Linked DNA regions of Macaca fascicularis. The protein of the gene in region 3 purifies or fractionates together with the protein of the main gene of each other region. This does not show direct contact. Links are inferred from orthologs where the notes say so. Each region holds a gene or a part of one and is shown on either strand. Other genes may lie near its edges.

Region 1 (5,794 bases), on a different chromosome or scaffold from region 3:
TGTTTTGACCCTCTTTCCACTCCAAGAAGCACAGGATTCCCCATTAGTGTGACTCAGACTCATAAGGTGAATAATAGTTTAAATTTTTTGGTATCATTTCTACCTGTTACAGTTTCATTTGTCACAGTACACTTTTAAACAATTTAACAAAAAAAAACTGTATTATTTTTCTGTCATATTTCAAATATAAAGATTATCTTGTTGATAAGATACAGTAAAAACTAAGTTTTTATCTTATGAAGTCAGACTTTTTAATATCATATACATCCAGTATGGTATCAGAATATACTACAAACAATCTGTACACAGACTATGAAGTAATTCATCTATGATAGCCCGAATTTCTAAGAATATTATTTAAATATGCTGTCATCATATTTTGAAAGAAATATAGTGCTATGGTTTGGATTATTTGTCCCCTCCAAATCTCATGTTGAAATGTGATTCCCAGGCCGGGCGCGGTGGCTCAGGCCTGTAATCCCAGCACTTTGGGAGGCCAAGACAGGCGGATCACGAGGTCAGGAGATCGAGACCATCCTGGCTAACACGGTGAAACCCCGTCTCTACTAAAAAATACAAAAAACTAGCCGGGCGAGGTGGCGGGCGCCTGTAGTCCCAGCTACTCGGGAGGCTGAGGCAGAAGAATGGCGTGAACCCGGGAGGCAGGGCTTGCAGTGAGCCAAGATTGTGCCACTGCACTCCAGCCTGGGCGACAGAGCGAGACTCCGTCTCAAAAAAAAAAAGAAATTTGATTCCCAATGTTAGAAGTGGGGCCTAGTAGGGGGTGTTCAGGTCATGGGAGCAGATACCACATGAATGGTTTGATGCCCTTCCCATGGTAATAACTGAATTCACATGCTGTGCATTCACACAAGACCCTGGCATCTCTTTTGCCCTCTCTCTCACCATGTGACACAATGGCTCCCCTTCACCTTCTGCCATGATTGTAAGCTTCCTGAAGACTCACCAGAAGCAGATGCCAGCCCTGTGCCTTGAAACTAATGGGTAATGGTGCATGAAAAATGATTAAAAGCACAGAAAACAGGCCCCCAGAAGAAAAAGTTAAAGAAATTTCCAACTCACAACATAAAAAGAAGGTGGCAAAAGATGTGAAGACAAAATGACTAGATGGTGGTCACGTTCTTTAATTCAGCAACCATTTAAGTGTGGGCCTTGTGTGAAATGTGAGGCTGAGGGAAACAGCAAGGTCACAGACCCAGCTCTTAAGGTGCTCTGGTTTGCAGGGGAGCTACTGAGCCACATCACAACCACAGGGAGACAGAATTCATTCCTAGATGGATTTTTTACAAGGTGTGTTAAAAGTTTCTCTCCACTCAGCGTGGGTGATTACACCTGGCATGGGTCACTGGGGGTATATCCTCAGAATTAGAGCTGATGATCCTTTCCTCTGCAGGGTTTAGACATTCATCATCTGAAAGAAGACAATGAGCCCTTTCAGATAGGTTGCTGTTATGTGATTATCATGGTTTTTTCCAAAAATATAATTTCCCCATTCCATAGTGAAGTAAAAGTAGATGGAAGTAAGCATAAAATATTTTAATCATTAATGTCAAATGAGGAGGAAAGTAAGTATTTCATTACGCCAAAAACAGAGCAATACTTTAAGTCAACACATACTTGGGCCTTCCTTCTTAGCAAGGGCTTGAATAGAGTGGTAGCCCTGAAGGCAGCAGAGGGAGGCTATGATAGTGTTTTGGTCTAGCCCCAGTGCTGAGTTACAGTTACCACAAGCAGAATACCAGAAGGGTTAGTGTTTGCTTCTTTGATGCGTGGGTGTGTGTTTCAAGCCCTAACTTGTTAGATGGATAAAAGCCAATGAAATGGAAACAGGGTAAATCCTCATGGCAGGCTCAGCACATAGATTCACTCAAAGCTAGATATAATGTCACCGCTCCCCCAAAATTAGAAATTAAAGTAAAAACAAATTAAAAATGGACTCTTTTGAGCCATAATTTGCAATGTTACAGTTTCTATGGTAGTAGAGTCTACCACTGCTCTGTACATCATAAGTATGAATATAAAAGTTGGTAGATAATGAAGGATTTTCAGGTTCCTGGTTTACATTCTAATTCCCACATACCCTATTAGGTTAATGTTTTTGGAAACTTTATTATTTACTTTATTTTTTAATAGATAGGGTGTCACTATGTTGCCCAGGCTAGTCTCGAATTCTTGAGCTCAAGTGACCCTCCCACCTCAGCCTCCTGAGTAGCTGGGACTACAGGCACGCACCGCCACACCTGGCTCTAGGATAATAGTTTTTTAAAAAATTAATCTGACTGGTTAAAAAGAAGTAAAAGAAAAAACATACCTGCTAAACAACACATTTTATTTCAAAATCTTAAGAACATTCTTGTGATTAGGTCTTTGGACACGTATGAGGAAAACCAATCTACTTCTCTTCAGGGAAATGTCATCACAGCTTATATAAAGGAAACTGTGAATGGAGCAGGAACAAGGAAACAAACTTGATATCACCTGGGAAATAAATATTTCAGCTTTCATCTTTCTATGAATACACTTTGAGAAACCCAATTCAGAACACAGCTTTACGATTCTCCTTTACCTGGCTGGAAAACTCTGAAGTCGGTTATAGGCCATGTGAAGGATCTTCAAATGTGGGTGTCCCGTTAACAAGGGCACACATTTGTCTGTGAGGCTGTTATTTGTCAAATACAACTCTTGTAAGATACTGTTTGTCTCTTCAGAAAGCGTGGCTGGAGGAAGGCTTTCCAGTTTGTTCGCAGATGCGTTCAGGAATCTCAGGCTACAATGACAAAATGTAACAAAACGCTATTGAAAAGTCACAAAACTCCTCAAGAAACCTAGAAGCTTTGATACCAGGCATATTAGAAGCTGGGATTAGAAACATGAATTGAAAAGACAAGCCCTGGCTTCAAGAAGTTCAGTTAGCAAGTATTTGTATCTGTGATCCATTAACTATGATGAACACAATAGCTATCTATATGTATTAAATACAGAGATACAATCAAGTTTTATGGAAGCACAAAGTTAAGAGGAAGGCAATTATTTCTATAGTTGGCGGGGAGTGGAAGAGAAAGTGATATGGTAAAGTTAATATTCTGACTTAAGGAAGAGAAAAACAATTTCCTATTTTGTAATCAAAAGTTCTTGCTAAAGCAGGAGGATGCCAGGAGTTTGAGACCAGCCTGGGCAACAAAGTAAGATCCTGCCTCTATAAAAATTAGGTGAATAAATAAATGGTTCTTATAGTAATAAAACAGGTATTAGATCACAATACAACTAAATCACATAGTGACTTGAGTCCTCTTCAGTATAAGGTCCAATGCACATTTTACTGACTTTCACAAGTGCAGGAGATAATTTGCTCTGTCTTAAAACAACATAATATGATGTAGCAATGAGAATAAAGAACTAAAACAGCATGTATCAACAGGATGAATCTCACAAACATATAATGACCAAAAGAAGCCAGATAAAAGAGGAGACCCACTGTATGATCCCATAACTACATAAAGTTCAAAGTCAGGCAAAATTACTCTGTAGTAACAGAAGTCAGGATGGCAGTAACTCTTAGGTGGGGAGGGAAAGGAGGCAGTATCCAGGAGATGGCGTGTAACGTTTCAAATATCATAATGTTCTTAGGTAGGGAGGGAAAGGAGGCAGCATCCAGGACAGGGCGTGTAACATTTCGAATATTGTAATGTTCTTAGGCAGGGAGGGAAAGGAGGAAGCATCCAGGAGAGGGCGTGTAAGGTTTCAAATATTGTAATGTTCTTAGGAAGGGAGGGAAAGGAGGCAGTATCCAGGAGAGGGCGTGTAACGTTTCAAATATTGTAATATTCTGTTTCTTAGTCCAGATGCTGGTTACACAAGTGTGTTCACTTTGAGATGATGCATCAAGTGCTACACTTATGATCTGGCCACTTTTCTGTACTTATATTGTACTTAAATAAATTTCACATTAAAACAAACAATATACGTGCTGCCACAGTTTCCAGATGCTAGAGTGAAAAGTGGATAAAGCATAAAGAATGGTTTTATAACTAAGATAACAAATCGTCAAAAACAATAAATAAAAAATCTTTCACGGTGATTGTGAAATGTAGTTAAACGCACAATGCAAAGCTGGGGAATGGCAACAAATCCTTGCTGTGATCAGGTTCCAAATCACTCCAAAGGGACGGACTGTGTCACACTCAGGAGTCAGAGATGACCCTCCTGATTCATGACGAATGTCCAACTGTGCAGCTGCAGCAGGTGGGAAAGAGACAGTGCTCAGTACATAGGACCTGCCTACAAGAGTTAGAAGGGTCAAATCTCCCATGCCTCTCTCTGGCCCCCAGATCAACCCTGTTGATGAGCCACACTATTCCCTCACTTCAATCACTTTGGTTTGAAATTTTCACCATTCAATTCAGGACTATTCTGCCATTTCTTAAAAAAAAGAAGAAGAAGAAGAAAATCATCCTTAAAAATAATACAAAATACCAAGCACAGTTATTTTTAATCTTGGATACGAAAAAAAAAGGCTATTAGGAGTCCTCACCAGGACTGTCACTCCAAGCTCTCAGTCCACTAATTTAAAACTCTTCAATCTCATATAACCCCTTCAACACACAAACACCAACTCCATTACTTATCTGAGGAAAAGCAGCTTCCCCAAAATAGAACATTTTCCATTAAAGAAACACGTATTCCGTTGACATTAAAAAAAAAAAGGAAGTTAGAGAAGGGCTGTCCAGACCATAAATAGTCATGGGAAATTATAGTCGTGTGTGCTACAGAGAAGGAAATAAAGGTCACTCTTGCAGTTTCTAAAATGGTTTGGAACTAGGAAGGAAACAAGTTTCAGCACCATAGTTGTTTACCATTGCTGTTTAGAGTATTTTTATAAGTCTGTCTCTTTAGACCCCATTTAGACCACCTAATTTCCTGTTAAGAATTTCTTTAGTGTAGCATTAGGATAAATTACAATGTAAGAAACAAATTTTATTGCCCTAAAATATCATGGACTAGTGTTGGGCTGGGAAATTATATAAAATAATTTCATTAAAATAGAATTCTCAGCTGGGCGCAATGGCTCACACCTGTAATCCCAGCACTTTGGGCAGCTGAGGCGGGTGGATCACCTGAGGTCAGGAGTTTGAGACCAGCCTGGCCAACATGGTGAAACCCCCAGTCTCTACTAAAAATACAAATATTAGCTGGGTCTGGTGGCAGGTACCTGTAATCCCAGCTACTCGGGAGGGTGAGGCAGGAGAATCACTTGAACCCAGGAGGCAGAGGTTGCAGTGAGCCAAGACTGCACATTGCACTCTAGCCTGAGCAACAAGAGCAAAACTCTGGCTCAAACAAAACAAAAGAAAAAGAAAAAAGACAAAAATAGAATTCTCTAGGAAATATGTAGTTACACACACACACATATACACACATATGAGACAGATAAAACAAAGTGAATTCATGTTTGCATACTTTTCAGGCCAGAAAAAGAGGGAATGTTTTAAAAACAGACAAGTGAATGTTCATCTAGAAAGCTGCCAAGCAACTTAAAAAACCCCTCATGGCATCTGAATAAAGAGAGGAAAGTGATTTCCTCAAAGATTTATCCTCTCATCTTTTTGAAATTTGTCTGTAATTAAGGAACTATATACCTTTTATGCAAAATTAAGGGGGAAACTGCCAGCATCATCCGCCTCCAAGAAATGAAACTAGTTAGCTGAAACCACATGAAGTGGTTCCAAAGGACATCATCTGAACTGCATAAAGTCTCACTTAATCACCTTGTTGG
Region 2 (5,406 bases), on a different chromosome or scaffold from region 3:
ATGCCAGGCCTGCTTTTGCCTACTGTGACCTTTCCAACACCATAGCCCACCCAGGAGGCAAACGCATCCCCCCTCTGCCCATTCTACAGGCTCTAAGACTTAGGTGATAAGTTGGAGGTTAGAGAGAGCAGTGACTTGTCCGGGATCACACAGGGAATGGGACTGGAACCCAGGCCTGGGATTCCCAGACTGTGCCTTCAGCAGGAGGCTCAGATCCTGAGTCCAGAACCAGCCTGGCAGCCATGCCCACAGGCTTGAGCTCGCCCCTAGAGTTTTGGCCTGAAGTACTCAAAAAAGTTTCACCATTTAAAAAACAGATGTTCAATAGAAATAGATTTTGGTTCGAGTGACAGGCAGCAAGACTTGGCCATGCGGGGCCCATCTGCTGCCCTTCAGACGGCCAGCCTTGGACGCCCCGTCTCCCAGCTGGCTCTCACACCCACCCCTCTCTCTGCTGCCTGCCACCTGGGAATCTGAGAGGTCTTGTTCTGAGACACTAAGATTTCCATGGCTTCCCCTCACCCCACGAAGCCAGAGGCTGTGACAGCAACAAAGCCCTCTCTCTGCCAATGACTGCTTCTTCCCACCAAGGGTCCTGCCAGGTCCCCGGCAGGCTGGCATGGAGCCACTCACCGCCTTGCCCGGCCGGGCCCAGGTGCAGATGAGGCCCTCCTGGCAGGCAGTGATGATGCAGTCCTCCAGAAACAGGAGGACTGTGAGCCGCTCCTGCGCGATCTTCTTGCACACGAGGGGCTCCAGCAGGGGCACCTCATGGATGCGTGGGCACAGTGCGGTGCCCAGCACCTTGGCGGGGTCCAGGCGGCTGCGGGGAATAGGGCCGCTGGGCTTCTCCCCACTGCCGCCGCCACCGCTGCCACCCCGGCTGATGTTGCCCAGGCTGTGGTAGCGCTTGTGCTCCTTCTCGGCCCCCCGGTCCCGCCGCTCCTGCAATGTGAGCGTGGCGAAGCGGCCGATGCTGAATGGTGTGCCAGGCTCTGCTGCCACGCCCGGGCCGCCTGCCTTGCCCCCGCCCGCCGGGTGCGGGAGGCTGTTGGAGCGGGACAGCGAGCGAGGCAGTGGGCCCGGGCCAGGCTCGCCACCCCTGGAGCTGCTGGCGGCCGGTGGCGTGGTGCCAGGAGTGCCAGGGAGGGTGCGCGTGCGGGCCAGGGGCGGGTGCGGGTAGAGCACATCTTCAGTGAGGTCCCACAGACAGAACTGCGTGTCCTGGCCCGCCGAGCCAAAGCGGTAAGTGATGGAGCCAGCCTTGGGCAGTGGAGAGAGCGGGGCACCCCCGGCCGAGCCTGTGCCCGCAGCCTCGGGCTCCTCCTCCTCCTCCTCGCCACTCCGCTCCCCGTCAGCACCGGCTGCTGTCGCCGCCTCCTCTGCCCGTGTGGTGTAGGGGTCGAAGGCCACAGCGTTGACCCAGGACTTGTGGCCGTGGCCTCGAGCCACCACGCGGCCCTCAGTGAAGGACCACACGGTGACCAGGTCATCTTCACCACCCGTCACCACGTAACGGCCGTCGGGGCTCCAGCACACACACAGCAGGCCCCCAAAGTAGCTCTTCATGAGCCCGCGCAGGAGCATGGAGTCGAAATGGAAGACGCGCAGGCAGCCATCCTGGCTCACACAGGCCAGGTGCCGGCCATCAGGCGAGAAGGCGAACTCGTTGAGGGGCCCCTCGCCCACCGCCCACTTGGCCAGTGGGTTGCGGGGCGCCTTGCTCTTGGCCGCATAGACAGAGAAGCCCTCGCCCTGCTTCAGCAGGCTGTACTGGGGTGGGGCCGAGGCGCACGGGTGGCTGACGTTGTATAGGTACAGGTGGCCACTGGCGTGTGATGCCAGGAACAGGCTCTCCGACTCAGGCAGCCACTTCAGATACGTCACCTTGGTCTTGTCGATCAGCCGCTGCCAGGGGAGACAGGGTGGGGTTGGGAGAAGGCAGTAAAACTCAGGCAGACCTTCTCCCCAACCTGAAGTCCCCAAGGCCATTGGACACGGCCCCGCCCACACAGCAGATGCCACACCAGGCCCAGGTCCTCCTCGACGAGAAGCTCCCAAACTGGGGAAGACAGATGGATACTGGGTCATGAAGACATGGGGGAACAGGGGCTGCTCCAAGGAGCCTCAATGTGTCATCTTTGGTGAGGGGACAGTCCTGCTTGCCATAGAATTGTCCTGTATCTCAGGGTCCTCAACCTCTGGGCCATGGAACAGTAGTGGTCTGTGGCCTGTTAGGAACCGGGCCATGCAGCAGAAGGTGAGCGGTGAGCAAGCAGGCATTACAGCCTGAGCCCGGCCTCCTACTGGAGCAGCGCACCATTTGATCCTCATAGGAGCGCAAACCCCACCATGAACTGCGCATGCGAGGGAGCTAGGTGTGCGCTCCTTACTAGAATCTAACACCTGATGATCAGAGGTGGAACGGTTTCATCCCAAAACCATCCCCCCAGCAGTTCGTGGAAAGACTGTCTTCCCTAAGCCGGTCCCTGGTGCCAAAAAGGTTGGGGACCTCTGCTCTATCTACCTAACCCTCCCCCAATCTTTACTATGTCAGGCTTTAAGCAGGAAATTTCTTCACAGAAAGCCAGCTCCCCAAAGGAAGGGATCTTTGTTTGGTTCGCTGTTCTTTAAAGCAGTGCACACAGGAGGCGGCCTGAAGGTAATTCCTGGACAAATGAGTGACAACCCGCCATCCTGCTAGGTGCTTAAGACAAAAAACCTCAGCACCTGCCCTTTTCCTCACATCCAATCCTTCCACAAATCCTGTGGGCTCAACCTTCAAAATACACCCCGAATCGGCCGGCACGGTGGCTCACGCCTGTACTTCCAGCACTTTGGGAGGGCAAGGCGGGCGGATCACAAAGTCAGGAGTTCCAGACCAGCCTAGCCAATATGGTGAAACCCTATCTCTACTAAAAATACAAAAATTAGCCAGGCATGGTGGTGGGCGCCTGTAGTTCCAGCTACTCAGGAGGCTGAGGCAGGAGAATTGCTTGAACCCGGGAGGCGCAGGTTGCAGTGAGCGGAGACCATGCCACTGTACTCCAGCCTAGGCAACAGAGCGAGACTCCATCTCAAAAGAAAAAGAAAAACTACACCCAGAATCTGACCTCCTCTCACCATCCCATCCAGCCACCCCAAGCCTGCAATGTTGTGTGACTGGCCTCAGGCTCCACTGCCTGGGCCTGTCTGTCCTCTGCAGCAGCCACAGCAATGCTCTGTTAAGTATCAGTCAGCACCTGGCACTGTCCTGCTCTGAACGCTTAGCAGCCTCTCTCAAGCAGGGTTCCAGAGCCCAGGGCCCTAATGCCCTCAGGCAGTCAGCATATGCAACTAAGGAGCTGCTCTCCCAGGATGAGAGGCCTCCCATCCTTGGGAGAACTGAGCAAATAATCACTCCAGTCACTTCTGCCTTCCAGGGCTCAGCTGAGCCCCGATGAGAAAGGCTCCTCCACAGGTTTCCAACTAAGAGTAAGGCAAAGTCTCTCCACCGCCTTCCAGACTCCCCATGAGCCGGCCCCTCTGTTATTTCCTGGAACTCATCTACCATCCTCTCTCCCTCAGTAACTGCTCTGGCCACACGACTTCTGTGCTATCCTGCATTTGTCCTAGCTGGTCCCACTACTCAGAATGTCCTTCTTGGCTGGGTGTGGTGGCCCAGCCCTATAATCCCAGCACTTTGGGAGGCCAAGGCAGGAGAATCGCTTGAGCCCAGGAGTTCGAGACTAGTCTGGGCAACACAAAGAGATCCCATCTCTATGAAAAATACAAGCCAATTGTGGTGGTGCTTGCCTGTAGTCCCCGCTACTCAGGAGGCTGACATGGGAGGATTGCTTGAGCCTGGGAGGCAGAGGTTGCAGTGAACCAAGATCGTATCACTGCACTTCAGCATGGACGACAGAGTGAGACCCTATCTTGAAAGGAAAAAAAAAAAAAAAAAAGATGCCCTTCCCCAGGCAACTCTTCTCACCTGCCTCCTTCAGGTCTTTATTTCAATATCACCTCTTAGTGAGGGCTTTCCTGACCACCCTATTAGACTCTTCAAGCTTCCCTCAGCTCCTTCCCCACTGTTTCTTCTAAACAGGCCTTAATCACCTGCTGACACATGAAGACTTAACTTGATTAACTGTCCATCTCCCCAGCTAGACTGAAAGCTCCAAAAGGGCAGGGCCTCCTGTCCAGGGCCCTGAGATGTGATATCCCTACTGCTGGGAACGGTGCCTGGCACAGAACGGATGCTCAAAAACTATTTGTGAATGGATGAGCTAATGAATTTTTAATCCACTCACTATTCCGTTCACTCCCTTCAGCCATTCACTCATTCTGAGAATATTTATGGAACACCTCCTCTGGACCAGAGAGAATGAGACAGAAGCCAAGAGCAGTCCCTGCCCGCGGATAAGGTCGTTTACTGGTATCTCCTCGTAGGCCAAGTTGGCCCAGGACTGAGCAATCTCCATGTATGATTCTACAACAGCGGTTCTGCAAGGTAGGAACTGGAATCCCATTTTGCAGAGAAGGAGAAGTGAGGCTCAGAGAATGGTCACCTTCCCAAAGTCACACGGTGAGTAAGTGGTGCAGCAGGGTTTTGAATCCAAAGCCTCCAAAGCCCAGAACTCAAAGAGCAAGGGTATCAACTAAGTCCCAACTTATTTACTAGCCTCAATTCTCTAATCTGCAAAATGGGCAGCACACTTCTGCATCCACTGGTTGATGAAAACTCAAGGAGTGGCCAGGCGCGGTGGCTCACGCCTGTAATCCCAGCACTTTCGGAGGGCGAGGCAGGTGGATCACGAGGTCAGGTGTTTGAGACCAGTCTGGCTAACATGATGAAACCCAGTCTCTACCAAAAATACAAAAATTAGCTAGGTATGATGGTGGGCACCTATAATTCCAGCTACTCAGGAGGCTGAGGCAGGGGAATTGCTTGAACTGGGGAGGCAGAGGTTGCAGTGAGCAGAGATTGTACCAATGTGCTCCAGCCTGGGTGACAGAGCAAGATTCTGCCTCAAAAAGGAAAAAAAATTAAAAACAATAACAATTACAATTACAATTAAAAAAAAAAAAACCGGGTATGGTGGCTCACGCCTGTAACAACAGCACTTTGGGAGGCCGAGGCAGGCGGATCACGAGGTCAGGAGACTGAGACCATCCTGGCTAACACGGTGAAACCCCGTCTCTATTAAAAATACAAAAAATTAGCTGGCCGTGGTGGTGGGCGCCTGTAGTCCCAGCTACTTGGGAGGCTGAGGCAGGAGAATGGCATGAACCCAGGAGGCGGAGCTTGCAGTGAGCGGAGATCACGCCACTGCACTCCAGCCTGGGCGACAGAGTGAGACTCCGTCTCAAAAAAATAAATAAAATAAATAAATAAATAAATAAAACTCAAGGAGTAAAGTATTC
Region 3 (6,349 bases):
ATTGTATACATGTATCAAAATATCACACTATATCCCACAAATATGTACAATTATGTCAATTTAAAATAATAAAAGCAAAAAATTAACTGCATTTATATAAGGTTATCCTGAAAATCTGAAAATGAAAATAAGACAACTCCATTCACAATAGCATTCAAAATGATTTAAATAAGTAGGAATCAATTTAACAAAAAAAGAGAAAGACATATAAAAGAGAAAAACATTTCAGAGTTTCAAAACTCTGAAAACTACAAAATATTACTAAAAGAAATTATAGGAAATTTAAACAACAGAAAAAAAATACCATGTTCACAGACTGGAAGACTTTAACACTTAAAATGGCAATACTCCACAAACTGATCTACAGGCTCAGTGAGATCCCCATCAGAATCCCAGCTACTTTTATGGAAACTGACAAGCTGATTCTAAATTCATATGGAGGTCGGACCCAGTGGCTCACCTGTGTAATGATCACTTAAGTCCAGGAGTACGAGATGCAATGAGCTATGATTGCAATCATGACAGTGTGGTACTGGCAGAGAGGCAAACATACAAATCAATGAAATAAAATTGAGGATCCAGAAACTCATACATCTATGGTCAAATGATTTTCAACAAGGGTGCCAACTCCAAACGACAGAGAAAGAATAGTCTTTTTAACAACTGGCGCTGGGACAAATGGACAGTCACATACAAAAGAATGAAGTTACCTTTACCTCAAACCATGTACAAAAAACTAACTCCAAATAGATCAAAGAAGTATATGAACAGCAACACCCAGAAAACTCTTAAAAGAAAAACATTGGATTTGGCAAAGGATTGACATGGGATTTGGCAAAGGATTATAAAATATGAATATGACACCGAAAGCATGAACAACAAAAGAAAAAACTCAGGCCAGACGTTGTGGCTCACACCTGTAATCCCAGCTCTTTGGGAGGTCGAGGTGGGCAGATCATTTGAGGCCAAGAGTTCAAGACCACCCTGGACAACATGGCGAAACCCCATCTCTACTAAAAATACAAAAAAATCAGCTGGACATGGTGGCACGCAACTGTAATCCCAGCTACTCGGGAGTCTGAGGCACAACTGTTTGAACACAGGAAGTGGAGGTGGCCGTGAGCCAATATCCAGTGACACAGTAAGACTCTGCCTCCAAAAAAAAAAGGAAAAGAGAAAAAAAAATTAGATAAATTAGACTTCATCAAAATCAAAATTAAATTTTGTGCTTCAAATGGCACCCTCAAGAAAATGAAAAGACAACCCATAGAATGGGAGGAAATATTAGCAAATGACATAACTAACAAGAAACTTGTATCCAGAATATATAACGAACTCTTACACCAAGGCCAGGCAGGGTGGCTAATGCCTGTAATTCCAGTGCTTTGGGAGGACTAGGCAAGAGGATCCCAAGGGCCAGGAGTTCAAGACCAGCCTGGGCAAAACATAGCAAGAACCCATCTCTACGAAAAGTAAAAAATTAGCCAGGTATAGGGGTATGCACCTGTACTCCTAGCTACTCCGGAAGCTGAGGTGGGAGGATGACTTGAGAACTGGAGTGGCAAGGGATGATCATGTCACTACACTCCAGCCTGAGTAACACAGCAAGATCCTGTCTTGAAAAAACAAAAACAAAACAACAACAAAAAAAACTCTTACAACAATTAAAAGACAACTCAAAGAACAGCCAAAGAATGCAAATAGATATTTTTCCACAGAAGATACACAAATCGCCAATAAGTACATAAAGAGGTGCTCAACATCATTATTCATCAGGGAAATGCAAATCAAAACCACAATGAGATGAGATACCACCTCACACCCAAAATGGAATGGCTACAATCAGAAAGTCAGATAACAAGTACCAATGGGGATGCAGAGAAATGGGAACAGCCATACACTGTTGGCAGGAACATAAAATGGTGCATCTTTGGAAAACAATCTGGCAGATCCTCAAAAGATTAAATGGCAATTCCACTCCAAAGTACAGACACATGGGAAAACAAAACATATGTGCATAAAAAGCTTGCACCCCCAATGTTTACATTAGTATTATTCAAAATAGCCATAAGGTAGAAATGGCCAAAATGTCCATTAATGAACAAATAAACAAATGTAGTATATCCACACAATGGAACAGTATTTGTCCATTAAAAGCCATGATGAGGATGTCATCGAGCCTGTAGATCAGTTTGTGGAGTATTACCATTTTAAGTGTTAAAGTCTTCCAGTCTGTGAACATGGTATTTTTTTTCTGTGTTTAGATTTCCTTTAATTTCTTTTAGCAATATTTTGTAGTTTTCAGAGTTTTTACTAATACATATCACAACATAAACGAACCTTGAAAACAGTGCCAAAAACCATATACTCTATGATTCCATATACTAAAGTCCAAAGCAGAAAATTATATAAACACATAAAGTCAATCAGTGGTTGGTTTGCCTAGGGCTGGAAGGGGGAGGGAAAGAAAAGGAGGAGGAGAGAGATGATAGCTAAAGGGTATAAAGTATCTTTCAGGTGATTAAAACTGACTGTGGTGATAAATGCAAAACTCTATCAATATACTAAAAGCCACTAAATTGTACACTTTAAATGGATGACTAGTATGGTATGTGAATTATATCTCAATAAAGCTGTTTTATGAAAAAAGAGTTTGTGCCAGGTGCGGCGGCTCACGCCTGTATTCCCAGCACTTTGGGAGGCTGAGGCAGGCGGATCGCCAGGTTAGGAGACTGAGACCATCCTGGCTAACACGGTGAAACCCCGTCTCTACTAAAAATACAAAAAATTGGCCAGGGCATGGTGGCGGTCGCCTGTAGTCCCAGCTACTCAGGAGGCTGAGGCAGGAGAATAGTGTGAACCCAGGAGGCAGAGCTTACAATGAGCCAAGATCACACCACTGCACTCCAGCCTGGGTGACAGAGCAAGACTCCGTCTCAACTTGGAGTCTCTTTTGATGAATTGTTTATATCTGACATTTAAAGCTCAGTGTCCTGGCCAGGCGTGGTGGCTCACACCTATAATGCCAGCACTCTGAGAGGCTGAGGCAGGCTGATCACCTGAGGTCAGGAGTTCGAGACTAGCCTGGCCAACATGGTGAAACCCTCTTTCTACTAAAAAATACAAAAATTAGCCAGGTGTGGTGGCAGGCACCTGTAATCTCAGCTACTTGGGAGGCTGAGGCAGGAGCGTCACCCGAACCCAGGAGGCAGAGGTTGCAGTGAGCCAAGATCATGCCACTGCACCCCAGCCTGGGCAACAGAATGAGACTCTGTCTCAGAAAAAAATAAGTAAATAAATAAAGCTTAAGGTCCAAAACTCAAATTCACTTTTAACATCTTCAATATAAATTTTGTTTTTAAGATAAAACATATATACATATGCATACAAAAACATAGTAATGAAATAGAAATATTTTCCAGTTTCAAGTACTATGAAATCTAGTAACAATAAACTCCAAAAATGGGAATGGCAAGAGTGGATATGTCACTTCTGTAACAATAAAAAGCTGTGCTATAATCCATTAATCGGTACATTAGAGTTACAGATCCTGCTAGTACTTGAGAATGAAATGTTCAACCTTTCCCCTTCCACAAATCACCCTCATGGAGCTCATACACCCACTTTTCTGATACTGTTCTGTTGGATGTGCATGTAAGGCTCATTTCCCCAAAAAGACGTATCTTCCTTAAGAGTAAGAATCACTCATACTTAATAGTTAACCCAGCACAGCCCATACACCAATATTCACTCATTATTCTTTTCTGTCTCCTTACCATGTCTCTTTTCTTAGCCTCTCTTGCTCTGTTGGTTTTCTTCAGACTTACAAGCAAAATGAGAAAAACGAAGTCCCTAGAAGTCCAGGTTCTATGTTTCATCCTATTTCTCGTAAGTTTACTGAGGTATCAAATCTAATTATGGCAGTCGTTTAATAAACTTCAAAACAAAAATATTTTGAGATCTGGCAATCCTCAAATTAGAGCTTCTTCTGATACTATCTTTAACCATTAAAAATCTATTTCACTCTACTAAAATTCTACTAATATCACCCACAGAAATTTCCACATCTTTCCACTTTGCCTAAGAAAATGTCACAGTTGCCCTTTTCTGCCCTTTCTTTCTTAGGAAGCACACAGCCTAAGGCCTTCTCTCCAAACCTCCAAGATTATCTTTTAATGAAGCCCAACCATCATTTAAATTACTATACTGTAAATATAAAAGGTTCTGATCTAATCTTAAAATCCTAAAATACATTTTACATATGCTCTGTTGAGCAAGGCCATGTAGTACAGCTTTTATTCATTTCATCCATTTTCATAACCTCTCATGCTACCAAGCCTATATTTACTCATCAAAAGTTGTAAAAGTATTGGTAGCTAATTTTCCTGAATGTTCCACTGCATCTTTACTTTTCTCCTGCTGAGATTGGTAGTGTGCTAACAGTACCTGAAGTAAAAATTCTTTTACTTCCAAAACTAGAACAGATAACCACCTCTTAATGTTCACTTAGTACAAAAGGTATATGTTTACAAACCCACTCAACTTCTTCCCAATCTTTCACCACAACCCAAAATGCATTAAAGGCATATCTCGAATTGATTTTCACCTCTAATATATTTTTTAAAGCTAAAAAAAATGTGCATATTGTGGTAGTAGAAAAATAACTGCCTCCCTCAAAACGTCCACATCCTAATCCCCAGAACCTGTGAATTCAAGTTGCAGAAGGAATTAAGGTTGCTAAAATCAAACGACCTTGAGAGATTATCCCAGATTACCCAGGTCAGCCCTATGTAATCACACGGGTCTTGTAAGTGAAAGAGGGAAGCAGGACAGTCCCTGTCTGAGGGAGGTAATGAAAGAAAGACTGGCCAGTCATGGCTGGCTTTGAAGATGCTGCAGGGGCCAGGATCCAAAAGGCAAGGGCCGCGTCCAGGTGGCAAAGGCAAAGCAGCAGTCCCTCCTGCAGCTCCAGGAAAGAACACAGTCCAGCCAAGACCTTGGTCTCAGCCCAGCCAGACCCACACAACCTTTTTTTTTTCTTTTAAACAGAGTCTCGCTCTGTCGCCCAGGCTGGAGTGCAATGGCGCAATCATGGCTCATTGCAACCTCCACCTCCCAGGTTCAAGCAATTCTCCTGCCTCAGGCTCCCAAGTACCTGGGACAATAGGCACAGGCCACCATGCCCAGCTAATTCTCTGTATTTTTAGTAGAGATGGGGTTTCACCATGTTGGCCAGGATGCCCTCGATCTTCTGACCTTGTGATCCACCCGCCTCGGCCTCCCAAAGTGCTGGGACTACAGGCGTGAGCCACTGCGTCCGGCAACCTCCACAACTTTAGAATAATAAATTTGTGTGATTTTAAGCCACTAAACTTATGGTGATATGTTACAGCCTCATTGGAAACTAATGCACACACAAATTGGTCCATTTTAAACATTATAAATAGAAAAACAAATAGAAATAAATGCACTCTAATATCCCTAAAATCTGAAAATTAAAGTAACTGTATCTGGTTAGTTCATCTAATTTTCAGAATCCTGTGCTTAAGAATTTGAAGTTGCTTTTTTTAAAGCATAGCAGCAGTAAATATATAACCCTGAGGTGGAACATATTAAAAAATGGAAAACAAAAGAAAAACTACTTAGTTAAGTTTTAGTGTATAATCAGCTAAATCTTATTAATTATAGTTCAGATGCAAAAATGTGTTAGAACTTCATGTACTCATTCACTTGTAATATCACAAAATTAAGTCTAGGTGTGGAAAAGGTTCAACTTAATCTGTAAACTTTAGCCTGCCTAAATGTATGATTTTGGGAATACAACTATGAAAATATTCTGAAAATGTAAAAAGTTTATTTCTGTGTAGCTTCAAATACAACAAAGAATAGATGTACATTCTCTTTCAATGTTTTTAAAAATATTTCTTAAAAAAACCTATAGAAGCAGTTAAAACTATATTCTGAAGCCCTAATGAAACACTGGATCTACGCAATGATTATCAACAGTTGCTAAAAATCATTAGGTAAAAAGCTGCCAGCAGCTCCATAACAGAAGAGTCGTTCTGACAATGCCAGCCTCATCATTATAAAGAGACACCACATTCCCCTGCAACCCGGAAGTACACATCACCTATGTTTTTCCACCACCACTTGTACACCAACTTCTGCAAGGAAAATAAAAAATAAAAAAAATAAAAGATCAAGGAATCTGGATCAGGCCTCTTGATCTACCAAATTACAGAAAACATACAGGATGGAAGAACACGTTAAACATCACAAAGGGGATGCAATCAGCAAAGTGCAGAAAATGAAAAAAAGCTATGGGACAATCTGATTTCCTCAAAAGATA

Evidence for each region. The genes of interacting proteins can lie anywhere in the genome.
Region 1: the proteins of USP12 (region 3) and PHLPP1 purify together in Homo sapiens (affinity purification with mass spectrometry; 4 studies listed by BioGRID and IntAct, with this or other methods). This does not show direct contact. The link is inferred for Macaca fascicularis from reciprocal best matches to the Homo sapiens genes USP12 and PHLPP1.
Region 2: the proteins of USP12 (region 3) and DMWD purify together in Homo sapiens (affinity purification with mass spectrometry; 3 studies listed by BioGRID and IntAct, with this or other methods). This does not show direct contact. The link is inferred for Macaca fascicularis from reciprocal best matches to the Homo sapiens genes USP12 and DMWD.

Annotation. Positions count from the first base shown.
Region 1 is NC_088392.1:17,895,178-17,900,971, forward strand, and holds part of PHLPP1 (PH domain leucine-rich repeat-containing protein phosphatase 1), read right to left. Parts: intron 2,789-5,794; coding exon 2,588-2,788; intron 1-2,587. UniProt on the Homo sapiens protein: Protein phosphatase involved in regulation of Akt and PKC signaling.
Region 2 is NC_088393.1:53,866,477-53,871,882, forward strand, and holds part of DMWD (dystrophia myotonica WD repeat-containing protein), read right to left. Parts: intron 1,909-5,406; coding exon 634-1,908; intron 1-633. UniProt on the Homo sapiens protein: Regulator of the deubiquitinating USP12/DMWD/WDR48 complex. Functions as a cofactor that promotes USP12 enzymatic activity.
Region 3 is NC_088391.1:7,177,495-7,183,843, forward strand, and holds the start of USP12 (ubiquitin carboxyl-terminal hydrolase 12), read right to left. Parts: upstream 4,007-6,349; 5' UTR 3,879-4,006; coding exon 3,777-3,878; intron 1-3,776. UniProt on the Homo sapiens protein: Deubiquitinating enzyme that plays various roles in the regulation of the immune response and inflammation.